Linked DNA regions of Arabidopsis thaliana. The protein of the gene in region 1 purifies or fractionates together with the protein of each later gene. This does not show direct contact. Each region holds a gene or a part of one and is shown on either strand. Other genes may lie near its edges.

The links.
Region 2: the proteins of AT2G42370 (region 1) and THO7 fractionate together in Arabidopsis thaliana (co-fractionation; one large-scale study listed by BioGRID). This does not show direct contact.

What each region holds. Positions count from the first base shown.
Region 1 is NC_003071.7:17,637,950-17,648,392, reverse strand, and holds AT2G42370 (uncharacterized protein), read right to left. Parts: upstream 5,060-10,443; coding exon 3,892-5,059; exon of another isoform or gene 3,840-3,891; coding exon 2,860-3,839; downstream 1-2,859. Other genes in the region: BZIP34 (Basic-leucine zipper (bZIP) transcription factor family protein), read left to right, coding at 1-307, 488-578, 693-819, 1,016-1,188; AT2G42360 (RING/U-box superfamily protein), read right to left, coding at 6,776-7,486; AT2G42350 (RING/U-box superfamily protein), read right to left, coding at 8,495-9,148.
Region 2 is NC_003076.8:5,518,510-5,528,389, forward strand, and holds THO7 (Tho complex subunit 7/Mft1p), read right to left. Parts: upstream 5,503-9,880; 5' UTR 5,326-5,502; exon of another isoform or gene 4,998-5,325; 5' UTR 4,967-4,997; coding exon 4,370-4,966; intron 4,238-4,369; coding exon 4,133-4,237; 3' UTR 3,908-4,132; downstream 1-3,907. Other genes in the region: DOT2 (SART-1 family), read right to left, coding at 1-391, 685-1,294, 1,387-1,446, 1,534-1,600, 1,687-1,783, 1,875-1,988, 2,145-2,187, 2,289-2,427 and 1 more; AT5G16800 (Acyl-CoA N-acyltransferases (NAT) superfamily protein), read right to left, coding at 6,000-6,226, 6,327-6,530, 6,648-6,747, 7,390-7,534, 7,641-7,786; AT5G16810 (Protein kinase superfamily protein), read right to left, coding at 8,351-8,431, 8,655-8,736, 8,923-8,969, 9,071-9,152, 9,238-9,360, 9,534-9,605, 9,721-9,880.

The DNA.
Region 1 (10,443 bases):
AACAGTTCATGTCGATGTTCACCGACGACGACAACCTTCATAGCAATCCTTCCCATATCAACAACAAAAATAACAATGTGGGGCCCACGGGATCTTCCTCGAACACATCCACGCCGTCCAATAGCTTCAACGACGATAACAAAGAATTACCACCGTCCGATCATAACATGAACAATAATATCAACAACAACTATAACGATGAAGTCCAAAGCCAATGCAAGATGGAGCCAGAAGATGGTACGGCGTCGAATAACAATTCCGGTGATAGCTCCGGCAACCGGATTCTCGATCCCAAAAGGGTTAAGAGGTAACAAAATTATTCAAGAACATGCATGCACGTAAAAATATCAACTCATCAGATTTGATTACGATGCACCAAATATTTTGAAAAATATGATTACTGAAGATTAGCGTCACATCACTAACCATATAATGTTTTTTAAATTGTTAACAAAAATAAAATAAATATTTCTGAATGTTTCTACAGAATATTAGCAAATCGGCAATCAGCACAGAGATCAAGGGTGAGGAAACTGCAATACATATCAGAGCTCGAACGTAGCGTCACTTCGTTGCAGGTACATTATACAAACATTCATAAATCATAATCTTTTAATTATTCAAATAATTTCATGATTATAAATTTATTATGACCTTAAATCATTTTTGTGGCAAAAAAACTGAAATTAAAGGCGGAAGTGTCAGTGTTATCGCCAAGAGTTGCATTCTTGGATCATCAACGTTTGCTTCTTAACGTTGACAACAGCGCTCTCAAGCAACGAATCGCTGCTTTATCTCAAGACAAGCTTTTCAAAGACGGTATTAATCTCATGTAACTTTTGGATTTAATTCTCATGTAAATTTTTTGGATAATTATGGAATTAATATATGTGTGTTTATGAGATTTTTCATTTTCTCGTCGATGCATTCAATTATCACTGACAATATATGAGCACGCCCAATAATTTTCTCTCACTAGCTAATATAACATCAAAAAACTAATATTATTTTGCAGCACATCAAGAAGCATTGAAGAGAGAAATAGAGAGACTTCGACAAGTGTATAATCAACAAAGCCTCACGAATGTGGAAAATGCAAATCATTTATCGGCGACCGGAGCCGGTGCTACTCCGGCCGTCGACATCAAGTCGTCCGTTGAAACAGAGCAGCTCCTCAATGTCTCATAAATTAACCATCATGCATCATCATCAACATTTCTCTCTTTTAGCTTCTTGGCAAAAGTTCTTGACTATAAAATCTCTTTCGGGTAAGAAATTCAGGAGATATACATTTTTTATTCTAATCACATTGTTTTTAAGTTGTGATGAATTCAGTTTGATGTATCTTATTTATTTTGTTTATGTCGTCTTTTTTTCTTGGGGTTGATGGAAGGGAATCATCAATTGTTGTTTGTACAAAGAACTAGTTGAATTTTTTTTTTTTTTTTTTGGGAAGTGTACAGAGATTTGTGAACTAATTAAGATTTATTCGGAATACAGTAGTTTATTTTCCATCATTGTCTACTCTAAATCATATTTCTTCTCGCATAACATTATATTGATTTTAATAAGACAGATTAAACAAGAACTATGGTTAATTCACTAAAAAAATAGTCTCTATCTCTGATTATTTCTATTCTAAAGTGATCTAGAGTATCAACAAAAATAATTGTTTTGAACGGCTAAAAGTAATCTATAGCTATTAAACGCCTGTTTACACCCTTTTTCTGTCTCAACGGTTTTTAAAAATAGTAGTATCAACATAGGAAAATGTCATTTAACGACATTGAACTATTTTAGGTAATAAAACAACAATATGTTGACGTCATACAGAATCTAGATGGTAAAATCATATGGTACATCCACTCACGTAAGAAAAAGACAAATGAAGAAAGTATACAAAAATGTACTGTGGTCTAAAAATAAAGAAATAAGTAATAGCAGACCAAAACTCTGGGATTTTTAATAATCACTGATATTTGGTAACTTTTGTGATCGTTTATGTTTAGGAGTTACCATGAATAATAGCCGTTTAAGTATATTGTGGTCGATAAGAAAAAGCTTATGCAGTGAAAATGAAAGAAGAGAAAAGAGAAACGCGTGTGGACACATCTTGAAAGGCTTAAGCTTATTCACGTGATGTGTTCCTTGACTGGACCACTACGTTCTTCGTTACATGATTGGTTTTTTGTTTATTTCTCCTAAAAAAGAATTAATATTTATTTTCAAGATTTGGGGTTTTGAGTTTCTTTCAGCAAATGGTATGGTATAGAATTGGACCAATGGTAATAATGATATTTTAATTATTTATTTCATTTTTAAATTAAATTTGGTACCAAATGATGATACAAGGCGGCCACAGTTGAATTTGGTGAAAGAAGAAAAGTAGCAACAAAGAAGCCTTCCAAAGTTAATGGAAATTCACACTAAAGCCATTAGTGTTCTAGTCTGTAATTACTAATCGAATTTTGACCAAACCAGAGAGATGACTGAAATGTAGTTGATGAGAGTAGTGTTCATAAGACGCTTTGATCGCTATTGGCTACATTCGCTGGCTAATTGTCTACAAACCCAAAATAGATTTCAAAAATATCTACCAAAAAACTACAGAGCTACTAAAGATCCGACGTTACTTTATTTTGAGTTCTTGAATCTTCTTCTTGGACTCATGCCGGTTCTGCAAATGCCTACAAAAGAAGAAGCCAGTAAGTATTTGATGACTAGAATCTCAATAGGGACTTATTAAACAAGACTCATGCTCTCTTCTTCCAGTTCAATCGTCCATAGGTTATTTACATAATTGTGTGAGGACAACAATAAGTTAAGAAAGTTTTGAGTCTAAAAGAGAAAAGTACCTTCTCAAGTGTTTGATGTTGCATCAAATCTTGCAGATATAGATTCGCGTCTTGAAATTGTTTCTTTCAAGAGCTTCATCTTATTTTGAAACCCAATCAGCTTCCCGTCAAGCAACTCTACTTTTTTCTTAAGGTTCACTTCATACTCTTTAATCCAGAGACTTCCAACTTCTTTTACTTGTCTCTCTATTAGAACTCGTCTCATCCCCTCTTCTTTTTCTTCTTTCAATCTTAGCTTCTCGATTTCAGCAGTGCTCAATACTAAACCTCCAGTACCTTTAACATCTATGTATATCGGTTTATCAAGCAAAGGGCAAACTTTCCTGTGCTTTCTACATGCCTTCTGTGATTCTTTTAAAGCTTTCTGGTACCAGGCTAATACACTTGTCATCATACGAAGTTCATTTTCAAGCTTATAGATCTCTACGTTCTTCTTGTGTAGCTCTTCATAACTTTCTTTGTGCAATTGCTGAATTATGTCTTCCCTCCTTTGCAGTTCATTTTGCAACATTTGTTCCCTCATGTTCGATTCTCCACAAGCTTGGTCTTTCTCGACATATGATAACTTAGCCTTATCTGCCAAGTGCTTAATCTGCTCCATGCAAATGTCAAAAGGAACTGGCTTGTCATCCCAAGATGGTGTCTTCAACCTCTTAGTACTAGCAGGGTTATCAAAATGGTATGAAATATCATTCTCGTGACCAAACTCTCTCTTGTTATCATTCCCAAAATGAGAACGACCTGGAACCATATGCATGACAGCTCTAGGTGCCAGGAAATCACAAGTAGAACTGCCATGAACCTGTAGCCCAGAATTATAACCTAATGTAGATGTATCTCCCAACATCAGATTTTCCTGGTGTAGTGTTTTACCGTTCCGAAACAATAAAAACCCTCCTTCTTGCTTTTCTCCATCTTTCTCAATTTCATCTTCAAGTATCTCATTCTCTCCCACTTTCCTATGTCTTGTTCCGTTCTTTTCATCTCCTACAGTAGCACAACCAACATCACACCCCTGAAAAAAATGTGAGCCAACATGGCTGTCTCCATTCCATTTCATCTCCTTCTTCCTTGGCTTCCTTAAGATCCATTGGTTGTTCCTTGTTTTCCTCAAGATCAATTGCTTGTTCCTCATGATAAAGCTCCATCGTAGCAGCCATTTCGGACACAATCACTTGCCCAAGATTCAGTTTGGTCGTACTTTCCTCCACACAGTTTTCTTTCTTTGAGTCAGTGGCTCCATCATCCATTCCTAGATTCAAAGCAGCAATATCATCCTTTACCTTCAAATCCCTCTCCTTAAACAGATCTATTTTCTGTGATCTAATGACCATCTGCAAATGCGACGCATAGAAACAATCCCCGAGTGGAGGCTCCGCTTTCAACTCTTTCTCAACCATAAACCACATCAGTCCAGCCCAGTCCAGCTTATCCAATTGCTTTTTCTTTATACCTTTCATCCATTCCACCACTTCATCTGGCATCATCCACGCATCATCACAATGCAGTAGCATCCAATTAGAGATAACATCTTCAACAACACTGATTGATTCATCTGATTCCAGAAATTCCTTATCCTCATCAAGAATGACAACACGTTCTTTCTTATTAGGCAACTTCAAAGATCGAGCCAAATCCGCACGACTAAGTTTAATCCTAGACCCGTTTATATAGCTGCACTTACCTCCAGCACTATAGGAAGCTATAAGTTGAGCCACAAGATCATAATCCATATCCTGATCAAATTCCAAATGCACAAAATCCCACAATCCGAGAGTCTTTAAGAGACTCTCATAACAAGCAAAATCTAGGGTTTTTAATGGCTTGAAAGGTACAAGCTTTAATGTTTCAACAAGTACCTTGAGCTTCTTCTTAGACTTCTCTTCTTGCTGCTTACGTTTCTTATCGTTACATTTCTTCCGCTTTGGCCCACCACCGTGACAACTAAAAGAAAAGCTCATGGCTTTTGAATCCAGAATATCAATCTCGTCTTCCTCACTCAACTGTTTCTGATCACTACCGTTCTCCTGCGATTTCCTCATTTCGTCCGACACTGACTCTAAAATTCTGATTTTGTTCGGAACAGAATGTGTCTCTGAAGCTTCAGAGACTTCTTCCTCCAAAGTAGCTTGCTTAATCAGGTTTCTTAAAATAGTTACTGTATCTTGCTCTCGAGATGCAAAAGGATTCGCCGGAGGATCCATGACTGGGTTTTGTTTTCCGATCTCCTCCTCTTTCAGAAATTGAAAAGGTTAAGGAGCTAAAGAGTCTTTTTGTTTACTAATTAACCATAATTAATATGCTCCGTCATCAAAAACAGAGCAGCTAAAAACACTTCATTAGAGGCCCATATGTATATGGGCCGGAGTTTAATACGGCCCAAATCAGTATAACCGAGTTCAATAACCGGTAAGAATTAAAATATTTTACATTATTCACCCAAATCTTTACATTAATCACAACAAACTCCAACATCTATTCGACTCTTTCAAATTCACACTCTTCCTCCTCTTCGAAATCTCCGAGTACAAAATCGATCAATCTCTCGGAAAATGATCGTGTATTCTCTCTCTCAGCCTCACTGCTTCCTAATGAATCTCTCTATTTCTCCTCATTACGGTTGCTGCTACTGCGGAGTTTGGTGGGGAGGTATTAGAGACGGAGCTTTGGTGCGTGGCGAAGAACAACGTTGAGGATTCAACACTTTAAACGGCCATTGACTGGGCTTGTGGTCCCAGAGGAGCTGATTGCGTCTAGATTCAGCAAGGTGGATCCTGCTACGATCCATTGGATATAGTGAAGATGGCTTCGTATGTATTCAATAACTATTATCTGATGGAATGGTCTCGCAGATGAAGCTTGCAACTTTAGTAACAACGCAGCTGTTACTTCTCTCAATCCTAGTAAGTTCACATTTTCTTTCAGGATCAATGTCTAGCAGATAGTTATGACTTTTGCTAATTGAAAATGTTGAAAGTTTGATGCTTTTTCTGCAATTTTTCGTTTTCAGGTCAAGGAACATGCAAGTTTCCTTCAAGGTAATTAAGTAATCCACATTTGTATTGCCAATTAGCGTTTGTGTGTGTGTCTCATTTATAGTCTGTTTGGAGCAATTTTGATCCATCATAGGTTCTTTTAGAAAATGATTTCTAGTTTGATGGGTTTTGAACTTTTGAGTGAAATGAAATCTTTTTTTTGTTTTTTTCATTAGCTTCTGGCTTAGAAGGATGAAGTTACTTCACTTCTCCTCGACAATTGATTTTGATCTTGGTGATTATATTGTTCATATTATCAATATGATGCAGTTACTGCAGAACATAGAAGAAGTTTCAAAAACTATTAAAGCAATTTTTTTGAAAATGTTCTCATTCTCCATGAGGCTTCGTTTCATTGAGTATAGTAATAGTTACACTCATGCTGTTGAAATCTGGTGTGCAGTAAGGGAGTGAGCAATGGAAGTATCGCAGATGCCACTTCAATGCAGGGAGCAACTGCACCAGAATTCTCAGATTGAGCCGAGCAAGGCGGATGTTTAGCAGCTGGTTGTCACCCTTCGTCATTTTAGGCCACATTGTGACAATGACACTGATTATCCAACAGGTTTAGCTTCCGATTGGTGATTGAAGGTAACCCTTTTATGATCTCTCTTCTCCCTCAGTTTTATGTAACTAAAATGGTTCTGCATCTTTTATGGAGCCCTGATATGTACTGTCTACCACTGTGAATAGTTAACTTGAATGGCATGAACTGCACCAGATGTATCTTTTGACTAACATATATTTAGTGTTCCGTTACACAAAACTATCTAAAACCAAAAACAGAGCATGATATAGTAAAAAAGAAAGGAGGATATTGTATAAATTAAAGATTATCGATATGTGTATATGATTTATATGCATAATATGTATCTATATGTCGACTCAATGTCTCTCAAGATCTGCCACACGATCTTGGTCAGGACAAGAATGGTTGATCCTGTTCGAAGATCTTTCCCTCGTCAAGATTTTCCTAAACGAATTTAATCGCGAAGCCGGGGATACAACTGTTTTGTTATCTGAGGAAGAAGAGGATGCGGCTTCTACAGTCAAGTTCAGCCTGGTTTCCACCAACAACTGCGGTGCAGTACCGACTGGTCCTTCCCTTGGCTCAGGCTCAAGTCTCGGTCTTGGCTCAACTTCAGTCCGACAAACAGGACAAGTGGAGCAAGTGGTGAGCCACGTGTCAACACAGTCGACGTGGAAGATGTGCTTGCAGTTGGGCAACTCTCTCGCCTTGTCTTGCTCCTTTAACACGCTTAGACACACTGCGCATTCAGTAGCGGAGGCAGCCACGCCATCAGTGGCTCCAACAGTGAAAGTAGGGAGAGAAGCGATGACTGTGGGATTGAGGCCACGCTTAGGCATCTCAAAAGGGTGGCGGAAAATGACGGGGAGGCCACGGAAAGCTTCTCTACGGCGTCGGAGAACGAATCTTGCGTAAAGATGAAGAGCGAAGACGATGAGGATAACTCCAGATAAAGAAGCCACTGCGGCAAGCATGATCTTGCTGTTAAGATCGTAAGTAGACGGATTAGGCCAGAATGAGTGGTGGTCAGAGTTGAACCTGCGATGATCTCTGTCGTTGGAGCTCATTGTGAAGCTGGTTTTTCTTCGGTGGATGCAAAAGAAAAGTGAACAAAAGAGTTTACTAACTTATGATTTATTATATAAGGAATAAAGGACTTATAGAATTTCTTATTTTGATTGTTTTTCCAAGGCTTATACTTTAGTTGGTGGGTGGAGAAAAATGTGAAGTAGATAGAATTAGAAACTTTGGGAGATAGGTAGACTTTCACGAGGGTTTAGAAATTTCACCATTGTTGACTAAATGGTAGATTGTAGATTATTTATAGGTGATAGGTTTGAAGATTATAGACTGTATATATAAAGAGTGGAAAATATCAAAATCCTACGTAAAAAATTTGTGGACTGAATTTGCCTATTATGATTTCACGGTATTAGGAGTTAACTCGCATATATAGACTGAATTGTCTACCATCATTTCAGTGTATCAAGAGTTAGTTAGTCTCATATGCTGCAAATAGTATGGTGCAAATTGGTTTATCCAAGTAGATATATATAGATAAATTCATCTCTAAACATAGAATGTTAGAGTTACATATGATACTGCTATCAAAATTTTAAAATATGATAATACAATTTATTTTGTCAACAAAAAATGATAATATATATAGTCAAGAAAATACGAAAATTAAAGGTTAAAACGTGTGAGCCTGTGAGGATACGTGTGGGAACCACAAAGTTTGACTTGAAGAAGAGTCGTCTATGTAGGGCACACACGCATTAGATATACCTTAATAACAAAATTGTCTCGATTGTATGTTACAAGTTCAACTTTCTTTTTTTCTTTTCCCCTTTTCACACGTTAAGCAATAAGCAACAATGTTTTTGTAATTACTGTAACATACAAAAAGTGTGCCATTCATATTTACACATACAAAAGATTTCAGTACAAGAATAAAAAGTTAAAAGGAAGAAGAAGTATTATGGTTCATGAATTAAGGATTAATTATGGATGCATGTGTGTTTATACTTTTTTTTTTTTAACCGGCGTATGTGTGTATATACTATATACTGAATTCACTGTCTTTCAATATCCAATTCACGATCTTGGTCAACGCGAGAATGATCCCGCCTGTTCGAAGATCTTTCCCTTGTCAAAATCCTCCGGAACGAGTCTAACCTCGAAACCGATGATCCGCCGGTTTTGTTATCAACCCCCGCGAAATCTAACGGCGGTGCAAAGTCGCCAACTGGCCCTTCCCTAGGCTCAGGCTCAAGCCTTGGATGACTTGGCTCGGCTTCAGTTCGACAAACGGGACAAGTGGACTGCGTGGTGAGCCACGTGTCAACGCAAGACACGTGGAACACGTGTTTGCAGTTCGGTAACATCCTTGCATTATCTTTCTCCTCCAATAAGCTTAGACAAACCGCACATTCCGTACCCGCCACGTCATTCTTGATTCCAACCACGAACGTTGGGAGAGAAGCGATGACTAGAGAATCGAGGCCACGTTTTGGCGGCTGAGAAACGACAGAGAAGGAGAGGTCTTGGAAGGCTGATCTACGGTGGAGAACGAATTTTGCGTAGAGATAATAAACGAACACGATGATGATAATAATAGAGAAGGAAACGGTGGTGACGAGGAAAATCTTGCTGCTGGCATCGTAAGAAGTCGAGTTTTGCCAGAAAGAACGGTCGTCGGAATCATCAGTTTTGTTGTTAGAGCTCATGATGAAGCGTTTTGTTTTGGTAGAACAAGAGACAGAAAGTGGTTACTATAATCTAATAACAAGTTACTAATAGATTGAATGGATCTCATGTTGTGTAATTAAATTGTTTTTTATTATTTTTTCTACTTTTGTTTATTCTTCATAGCTATTACTTGGATTCAAGGGACATACAATATGATTGGTGGGTGTGAGAAAATAGGCAGCAGAATACTCATAAATTTTCGAAGGAAATTGTTGACTTTACTCGGATTTGTTATCATTTTCTTAATTTTAAATTAAACTTTGGAAATTCAAAAAATAATAATATAGGATTGCAATATTCTTTATACCGTAATACATAACATGTCGACAGTGTATATGAGAATTCTAGATATATGATGATACAATTTCTCCCAATAATATGACAGGACTTAATGTAAATGGAGCATAGTCAAGAAAATACGAAATTTTAAAGTTATAACGTGAGGTATGGAGCGAGGCTGCGTGTGAGAATCATATGGTTTGACTTGAAGAAGAGTATTCGAAGTAGACAAACATGCTAATCTATTACAAGTTGTGTGAATATATTAAAAATTCAACTCTCTTTTTAATTGTTTTTTTTTTTCCACACGTTAGCTCTTTTGTTTCCTTGTATATACTTGTAGGAAAAAAGTCATTGTATTTTGATGATATATCTTCAAAACATATTATATTTTATCTTTTTAAAATTATAATTAACAATGAAATAATGACTTTTTCTCATTTAAGATATTTGTACTTTTCATATCTCACTGGATTTGGGTCTCATTTTTTTTATGTACATAAAAAGAACTATGAAACCAAAAACCTTCCCGTAATCAGGTGTAGTTTGATTATCCTTTTTATGTTTTTTTTTTGTGGGTAAATTTTTTTATAGGTTTTGAGTATCTTATAAGGTATATATATGTATAAACAACTTAGTTTAATAAATATACTTATATATATATATATATATATTATAAGTTTCTTACCATTTTCTGAAGATAATTATAATAAACATTGTAATTCAAAGAATAAAATGTTGATGTTTGTTGGATCCCAATTATAATAAAATGATTAATAAGAAAATATAATATGTTATCATTTATTTTGGGATGTCAAAACTCATTTTTTTTGTTAGATTTTTATAAAGATTCTGTCATATAAATAATTACTTTAATTTTTAGTAGATTAGAAAGTAATATCTTTCGAATTGAAATTTTCAATGCATATAAATATAAACTAAAAATATTTGAGAATCGAAAATATTAGTTTTGATAAGTATATATAATGTTAAA
Region 2 (9,880 bases), on another chromosome or scaffold:
CCAAACTCGTCAGTCCTCTCAATCCGGATGTCCTTGAATCTATCCTTAGATTCTTTATCCTTAGATTCTTTACCTCCATCATCATCCACAATACCCACAAGCTTGCTCTTTTTTTTGTCCATATTTCTACCACCCCATTCGACCTTCTCCTTTAGGGTTCCTCGGTCTTTAAGAAGCTTCAATGCACCAGATAATCCTTTTCCAACCGCAACCTCGTGTATATTTTCATCAGGTGTTATCTCTTTGGTATCTGATGAATCCTCTGCTGCATCCATATCAGTGTCATTTACTTCTGTCAAACCATCAGGATGCTCTTCTTTTACTTCAACGGGAGCTTTGGGTGCTACATCTTCTTCCATGAAAACATCTTCACTTTCAGGCTTCCGCACATCTGAAAGACCACACAAAGATCAACAACACCGTACCACTTCTAACTACAAAGCATATGTTTGTCGAAGAAAAAAAAAGTAATTAGCAGGTAATAAGATTGATTAAACTAGCTACAAACTATTTGCAGACAAGTTAGCCCCAAGCATGTGTGTGAGAGAGAATGTCCATATATGTCATATCATATGACACCAAATAAATGTTCCAAATAACGTAGGAAGTGCTATAGCAGATCAATATAATAGAGCAAAACATAAATAACAGTGTAACTGTGTCAGAAGATGATTTAAACTTTACCGTTCTCGCGCTGGAGACCCCAGACAAAGTCTCCCATCTCTGTAAAAACCACTGTATTTTCTTGTGTCTCATCCCCGGTGGTGGTATTATCATCTGTTGTTTGATTGGTGCTGGAAGCCACAAGATGCGCAACTGCCTGTGGACCAGATCCAGCTTCCTCTTTCTTAATGAGAGCTAGCCTCCTAGCTTTCTCTAACGATTTGTAAAGATCTTCAGCATCATCAGCCAACACCATACTCTCATCTTCATCTCTTTTAAAAGGCTGAACTTGTTCCCTTCTAAGTAGCCTGGATGCCTCATCAGCTTTAGCAATGGCTTCCTGATAGGCATTGCTCCGTTTTTCATACTCGATCCTTTCTTTCTCTTCTTTCATGGCCTGCCTTCTGCCATCTTTACGAGAACCAAGATCTTCAGCTCCCAATCCCGATGCAACAGCTTCTGCTTCAAGCATACTTAAGTCCAATTTATCCTTTTTACGCAATTGTTTCTTTTTCTTGGGTTTTTTGAATTTTAGCATTTCTTCCTGTGAGAAGTAATCTGAAGAGACCTTTGCTGAGGAGTTAAGGTCTTCAAAAGTATGTGTCGTCTGACCCTGAATTCTCTTACGCAGCTGATCGGTAGAACATGAAAGAAAATAATTCCGTTAGTGTGTATACTTACTACGATCCATTTAATATGACAGAATGTTAGGAAGAATAGTACCTCCTCTAGCTTCTTCTCAGCTTCACCGGTGAAGCGACCCTTTGCATCCAAAAAGATCCCCTAAAGCAAAAGCAATAACATTAATTCCCTCCAAAGAAGTGCCTATAATTATGGTATTTGAAAAATCCGCTAGACAGAGTAACTTACCTCATCAGTAGCAGCCTCATCGTACTGAGGAAGCATCTTCTTTTCTGCCCCGGGATCATCATTAAACCTATAAAATAAATATAATGCCATGTTTCAGTCTTAAGCAACACAGATATGCTCATCTAAATGCCTTTGAACAATACTTAAACTTACTTATCATCGTATATTCCCTTTTTCTTCTTGGCTGCTTCATAAGCTTCATTCCGGCGCTTCTGTTCTCCAATTTCCACATTTTCTAGCATGTCAATCTCTGCAAGAATAGTTGAAAATCTCATTATGACAGAGCCTAACATCAACAATGCTGATAGCATAAATAAAAGATAGCACAAAAAGATACTAACCATTGTTAACGTCTCCATCGGTAAGGACACTTTGGTCTTTTAGTGTCAAGATAACTGCTCCACCTTCCACCACTTTCTCCAAACCATGTAGAACTTTAACACCAGATAGATGCTCTGTTAACCAGAATATGTCAAGATAAATTATCAATCAGAGAGCATCACATTTAGAAAGGAAGATAGAAAAAGAAATTCTATGGTATGACAGAATACATGATTACTTCCTTTGAAGAGTTAAAGTTAGGGGTAAAAGAACTAGAAACGAAAACATACCGCCATCCTCGCCATCTTCATTTTCACCTTGATTAAGATTGTCCTGAACAAATATGAGATAAGATATATTTATTAAAATGTCAGATAAAAGGAAGTTATGAAGAAATAAAAGGATATAAGATGTTCAAGGAATGGAGGTAATACCTGCTCCTCAAAAATTCTCGAGAGCTGCTGTGCTCTTTGCTTCTCAGCATTTCGTTTTTCCTCAATCTTACGGCTCCTTGCAACCCATGATAGAGCATCAGAAGCATCTTCAGCTTTCTTCTTTCTTTCCTCTCTCATCCTAAGGAAGAAAACACAAACTTTTAATTCCTGTACTACCTATAATTCTAGATTTCATATAACATATGAGAATCACTTACTTCAAAATGCGATTCTGAAGGTCCAACGCAGATGCTTCTTTCCCACTTGATGCAGCATCAACATTATCGCCACCTTCATTCAGACCTCTGTTGTCAGAATGTTCATATCTTTCTGCAGCTTTATGAGTCTCGTCATCATCTTCATGACTTTTCTTACTCGCTCTCTCCTTGACTCTTGCCCTATCCTTGTCTTTTTCCTTCTCGTTATCCCTCTCATTTTCTCTATCTTTATGTCTATTTCTTTCCTTTTCCTTGTCCTTTTCTTTAACCCGATCTCTACTCTTATCTTTCTCCCTCTCTTTATCTCTACCTCTAGAGATCTCCTTCTCAGTGTCCTCATCTCTACTTCTTTTTCGGTCTCTCTCTTTCTCCTTATCCCTGCGGTGGTCCTTATCCCTGATCTTTTCTCGATCATAGTCCTTTTCTTTATCCTTGCTCCTATGATCCTTCTCTTTCCTCCTTCCATCTCTGTGTTCTCTAACAGGCGAACCCTCGTAGTCAGCCCTCTCTTCCCTGATTTCATGCCTTGATTTAGACTTCTCCACTTCCATTTTCAAGAACTTTAGTCAAGACCTAACCACAGAAAAAGGAGTTACTCAGTAACAACAATTACAATGGTAGCAAAACTACAGCCGAGCAAGATGAGAATAACAAAACTATTATATTGGCATTACTCTGACAAAGTACTTGCACACTTGATGACAATTTTCGGTTTCAAAACTAGTGACAAAACACAAAAACACAAAAACCCTAACCTAAGAAGGATTTCATTATTATTGGGGAAATAAGGTAAAATCAAATCCTGAATCTAGCTAGCTATAAACATATTCAGACTTTGGAGGATAAACGGAAAACGGAACAAGGTCAAGCGATTCGAAATTCATCGGAAAAAAGAAGAAGCAAACATCTGAAACGAAATATCAAAGAAAACAAAGGTTGATCAAATTCCGATTCGAATTACCTCTAGATCAAACCTTCAATGGAAAGTACTGAATATTCGGATCGACGAACAAAGAGCTCAGAATTGCAGGAGAAATTTCCGAGGGTTTAGAGATAAATTGCGAAAGCACACCGACGAATAGTAAGGTTTAGAAGATAAAGACCTAGCAACTGCGAAGAATTTAGAAAAGAATGCTTCAAACGAGAGAGATGACGACAAACAGCAAACCGCGGACGATCGCAAACTCGCCGTGGAAAGAGACGGAGAGACTCTCTGGTGGCGAAGAGAGGAGAACGATTTTGCAAAATAGAGAAGATATACGTGTACTGTATATATATTAGTCCGGTTTAAAAGCAAATTCTTTGGTACGGGAATAAATCTTAGTCGGTTGAATTTTCTGGACCGGTTATTTTCCTGATGAATCATTACCAAACTTGGTTTAGTCAAATAAATCACTTTCTCCTGACCTTTCCGGTTCACATAGTCCTCAAAACCTCGAGAAGATCTGCCATTATTTTTTTTGAATCTGCGAGTTAAAATGAAACATACATATCCTTATTTTCATAGCAATTTTGGTTATGAGGCAACCAGAAGAAACCAGAAATTTATAAAACAGATTCTTCTTATCAATGAAAGGTTTGTTTCTTTAGCATTCAAGAGGAAGACAAAGTTGCTAAGATTAGGAGCTAATCGATGGACATGGCTTCAGCGCCATCAGCGGTAATGTTCCTCTGCATTTCTTCCACCATACTCTTCTGTTCATCCTCCATTGTCTCCTGCAACTCATCCACCTATACATAAAAGTTTTCACAAAACCAAAAAGGTTAGGATTTAGCTGTAAACATAAAGAAACACGAGAAAGGCGAAATCTTGTTTAGAATCTTAGCTATAAAAACACAACGAAACCCGTAAAATCGACATACCACATGCAACAACAATGCAAACTGCTTCTTCCTTAGTTCAAGAAGTCTCCAACTTGCTGTATTCTCAGCCTCGAGTTCTGCAATCTCCTTCTTCAATTCATGTATAACCTTCTGCGTCTCTGACCTCGGTGGCTGCGCAGAGATAAGTTTCCTAATGGCTTCACACTCCTCTTTCTGTTGTCTCTCTATCTTACTCTCCTCAAGCTGTTTCTTAAGATCTTCTATATCAGCTTGTGCCTGCATTATCTGCCTATTCGTCTCATCTTTAAGCTCGTTAAAGTTCTCTTTCTCCCTAAGATTTGCAGCGACAACTACTTGGCTCTTAAGAAGCGGAATCTCAAACGCAGAGAGTTCTTGCAAGAAAGCTTTCGCGAGCCTACCACACTCACTGTAGTTATCTTCTTCTTTGTCTAGTTCAATAACAAAAGAAGTGAATTTCTTCTGAAGCTTCTTCAATGGAGGTTCGCCTCTGGTGGTGGTCGTGCGTGTGAGAAGCCTATTTCTTATAATTTTGTCATCATGTAACGGATCGAAAGCATAATTAGCTGCTACAGTCTCTGATCTACCCGAAACAATCCTCCTAGCTCTCACTGACATCTTAACTACTAGAGTCTAATATTATTCAAATCTGCAGAACAAACACAATTCATAATAAGCTAGGCTAGGCTTCGCATAATTCTGACAAAGCATTATCTTAAACCAAACAAATAAATCTATGTAAGCTAAAAACTGCTCAAAACAATGAGAACACACTAAGGTCCTTTTTGAATACTCATTCACGGGAATTCATAACATTCGAACTAGTAATTAAGCAAAAGTTTCATAGAATTCGATTTATTCTTCTCATCGTCAAAATCGTTATAGGACAACTTCTGTTTCTCAAATTTTCAGTGAACCGAAATTATAGTGAGATTGACCCAATAAATAATCGGCGAAAAAGAGAATATTTAACTTACTTGAACCGAACCGAACCCAATATCAATTCACCTCTTGTACGATTAAAAATCCGAAACAGAGAAATTATGATTCTCTGATGCACTGTGAACCCTAATTCTATGTTTCCGTTCCTTCTTCCCCTTTCCCTCGTTCTTCACAGTTTGCTCGTTAACTTTCATTTATTATATACCTAATCCCTATTGTTTTTTAAATTACAATTTAAGCATTCACAGTGGTGAACTGAAATTTGTTACTAACCCAGAAAATTGGTCTGGTTTGTTTTTTTTTTTTTAAATCTGTTTAAACATCTCTAGTTAATTCCATGTCATGTGAATTAGCCCCAATTAGAGCCAAAAGCTGTTCATGATCAGAATTGAAGAAGGATCTGGTTTCTCGAAAAAAGTATTGGGGTTTGTTTTTGTAATTTTAAGTAAATTATATGAGCTTATGCTAGTTTTCACGCCATAAAGCACAAAGCTAATTTTTTCAACAAGCTAACTAATTTAAGACAATAAGACTAACAGTGGATTGAACCCTCCGTCCCAAAGAGTTGTCTTCAACTATCACATCACAATATTTACATTTTTATCACATTATTATTCTACACGAACACACACAATAGGATCACAACCAGAGCTTAATGGAAGACATTAAAATGAATGATTTTACAAAGTCTATGAATGGGAGACGGACACTATACGTAATCATACCCGGATGATACTCTTTCCGATGCAAGGTTTCGTTTAGTCTGAGTGGGCAAGAGACACCGCGTGTTGTCTTTGCTTTTAAGCCATTTCGAGCCTTTCTCATCGTGGTTCACCGTCAGCTTTGATGCGAAAGATTTGATTCCGCTCCTCATATAATTCAGAACCAACACCGCAAGATCTCTGCAATGCAGCCATGATTCAGCGATAACCCCATCTATGAAGAAACCGCAAAGAAACATCACAGCAAACAGAATTTAGAATGCAAAAAATACTTGTGTTTTGTACATACAAGGGTGAGCAAGGAGAGCGAGAACCGTTGATAAAGTAGACGAACAAGTAAGAATCGAAATGCTGGCCGTTGATTAAGTAGAATCCGTGTAACCTCCTTACACATCTGAAAGACATTCTTTTGTACAACCGGATTGCGGGATTGTTGTGTGCAATCACGTGAAGGTAAACACCACGGCACACAGGGATACCAGAAGAGTATTTGACGACCTCGTTAATAAGTGCCTTAGCTGCACAAAAAAGTTGCAGAACTTAATATTAACAAAACCAAGCAATAGAAGAGAAGCATCAAGCCATCAACAAAATATCCATATCATTGGTTTACTACATGGGGTCAGAATCAATACCGATTCCACGTTTTCTGTATGTTTCTACAACTCCAAGTGTTAGGATGTACACCAATGTCCCCTCTCCCTTCGACGAGTCATATCTTATTAGATCTGATATCTGTACAAGACATAGAAAATCTATCAACATATTACCCAAGAAACAGCCATTGATGACTCTTAACATTAAACGAACAAGTACAAAACAAGTTTGGATCATAATCAAGATGTTAATAAAGTGGCTGGCTCTTTTTGATTTTCTAGAACTTTCGTAAGAAACCCATCTAATGTACATGGCTTTAAAATTCACGCTTAAACCATTAGACATTGTGAAATGGTTCAACAACATTCAAAATCTACACTTCACAATTACTTGTTACTTGCTGTATAAAGTTATTTCGAAATTTCAGAACCAAAACCCAAAAGGCGAAGAACAAAGAGAAGACAATGTTTTACTACTGAAGAAGCTCCAACCAAAACTTAAAAGCTTAGAAAAAGCTGTTGAAATTGTAGAAAGTTTATATTTTTAAGAAATTTTTAAGAAAATGTTTCAAACATTCAAAATTTTCACTTTACAAGACATTGCATCTTCTTTACAAAACCCAAAAACCATTCAAAACAAGCTTCAAAAATAACTTGAAACGTTACAAATTGAAGCTTTATTTTCTCCAGTGGAAAGAAACCCATTTCGGACATTTGAAATCTACACTTGAACAAGACGATGAAAAAGGAAGACACTTGAACAAAACACAAAGCAACTCACTTCGCTTTCTTTGGCAAGTACGATTTTGGCAGTAACAAATCCAATAAGTTCCTCAGAATGACCATCAGGGCGACTCCGATCAACAGCAGCCCAAGAGACAATATCACCTCCGTTGACAACATTCTGAAAAAACTCAGACTCATACCTGAACAAAATCAAATGCTTTGATAAGACACTTCCAAAAAACGGAAAGTCAAATCCCAAAACCAGATCACATATAAATTCTTTCCAAAACAAAGGTATTTATTTACCTGATTGGGAATATGTCACGATGGATTTGCTCCAAACGTTCTAAATCAGAAGGGTTTATTGGTCTGAAGCAAATAGTTGGACGACGAGCGATTTTGGGTTCCTCCATTGATGAATTCTCCACAAATCCACGGGGAAAACGCGACATTGATCGAGATGATTAAGACTCAAACAACCTCAAATTCTCAATTTTTGATACTTTCATCTGAGAAAGAATCGAGTTCGAGATCAAAATCGGTCTCCGACCCGTTTGTCTGAATCGGAACCGGGTGGGTTAGGGTTTCCAGAATCAGAAGATGGGTTTGTTGATCTGCAAAGGTTTCTCGGAGAGTCAAGTGGGAATCGAAAGAAATGTGAAAACAAACGACTTTTGGAGAAGAAGAGGAAGGAAAAGTATTTGCTTGATTGCTTTGCCGTCTTCCCCACACATCGTTATGGCTTCAAGCGAAGCATCTTTGATTCTTCTTCGGATCATCTCACGTGCCTTGCGACTAACAAGCACGTGCGCATCTTCATCATTCTTTTACTTTTGACGACATTCTATTGTTTAGTTTAGTGACAACAAAACAATCTTAGTATAGCTAGTGCAGGATGAGCAGATTCAATATCATATTTTGGGAACCCACGATATATGATTATATGTTCAGAACATGGATCAAGGATTAATAGTTGTAGATAATTACGTAAATACATAATCTTCGTCTCTTCTCATTTAAACTACGCCATTCAAAAATCGATGACTAAGAACAGCTTCCGCCATTGGCCGCTTCCTATAGTCAGCGTTCAACATTGCCTACCAAAACACCACACGCAGAGACATTATTGGTCAAATTACCAAAACTTTCCAAACATGAAATCAGTTGACTCTATCATAAGCGTTCTCAGCATTTCTCCTCCATGCTTCTCGATATTTTCTTTTCATTACCGTTTCCATTTAACTTTGATCAGAGTTCAGTTATTTAACTTTTTTTTTTACTGTGAACCACGATGCAGAGAAAATTGGAATGACTAGATACCTGGAGCAATTCCCAACCAGCTCTATCACCAAGATCCAGAAACTTTACCGCTTCTTCGAGGCGTTCATCAGCTAAACAGTACCTGTATAAAAAATTAGTGAGGTCTTTCAAACACACAGTAACTTGGAGTATTAATCGGTTAATTGAATACAACGGTTCTTTTTGTGCTGCTAAAATGAAATGCAATTTATATGCGTTTTAAGTTTTAACACAAGAAAGTTATGACAATAGAGAATGTTAGTTAATCTGGAGGTAGCAAGAGGCTTACTCTCTTACAGCCTCGATATCCAGCCGGAAAGTGTTTTCCAGTAGCCTCTGCAGTTCAGCAGATTAAATTGCGGTTAAACAAAAAACTGTTTAAAGAACAGAGCTGCTACATTTGTTGGATTAAAAGGAGATCTTGTGTTCTTTCTTGCCTGAAGAGAAAGAGAATCCGTTACGCCTGCTTCACAGAATGGAACAAATGCTAAGTATGCAAAAAGAAGACCGGCTTCATATCTGTAAACCGCAAGAATGTGTTAAACCTTTATCAAAGAACATTTGCAACTTAAAAGATGAAAGACTAAGAAGGAAAAAGCACTACATGTCATCTGCAATCCCAAAAGCTCTTTTCTCAAAAACTGTGTAAGCACCAGCAGCATTTGCCCTTCGCCAAAGTTGCTCTGACAGTGAACCAGAAGTGGCTCCTTCTTCCAAGCATGAAGGCCTGTAAGGTATGCTCAGTCTATTAACAGAGAGTTGATAAAAAGCACCAACATTATCTTCACAATGCTAGTTCCAGTTATAAACAGCAAGACCAAAATGGCGAATTAAAAAAAAAAACTACTATAGCTGAGGATAAAATAATCAATCAGGAAGAGATGAGAAGAGTAAGGGAACCTTATGTCAACAGAAAAGGCTAGATCTCGCAGCCTCGGTATTAAATAGATGGCTTCTCGTTCCGCTGGTGTACTAAGGATAATTTCACCAGAGAGAAAAATCGACTGAATTAGTAGAGTCATGAGGCATTTATATTAAGAGTGAGGTGTGTATGCTATCACTTTCACGTGCTCATGGGGGAACATACTTGAGAACAATTGAGGATGGCCCGAGGCTTTGATGTAACCTGTCATTATCATGCATAAAGGCTAGACCCTTCATTGCACCCTGAAGGATCTTAATAACAAAGTTTCTCCTTCGTTTTATCATCTGCTCTTTTTCATAAGGATTCCATACTCCTTGGGAGC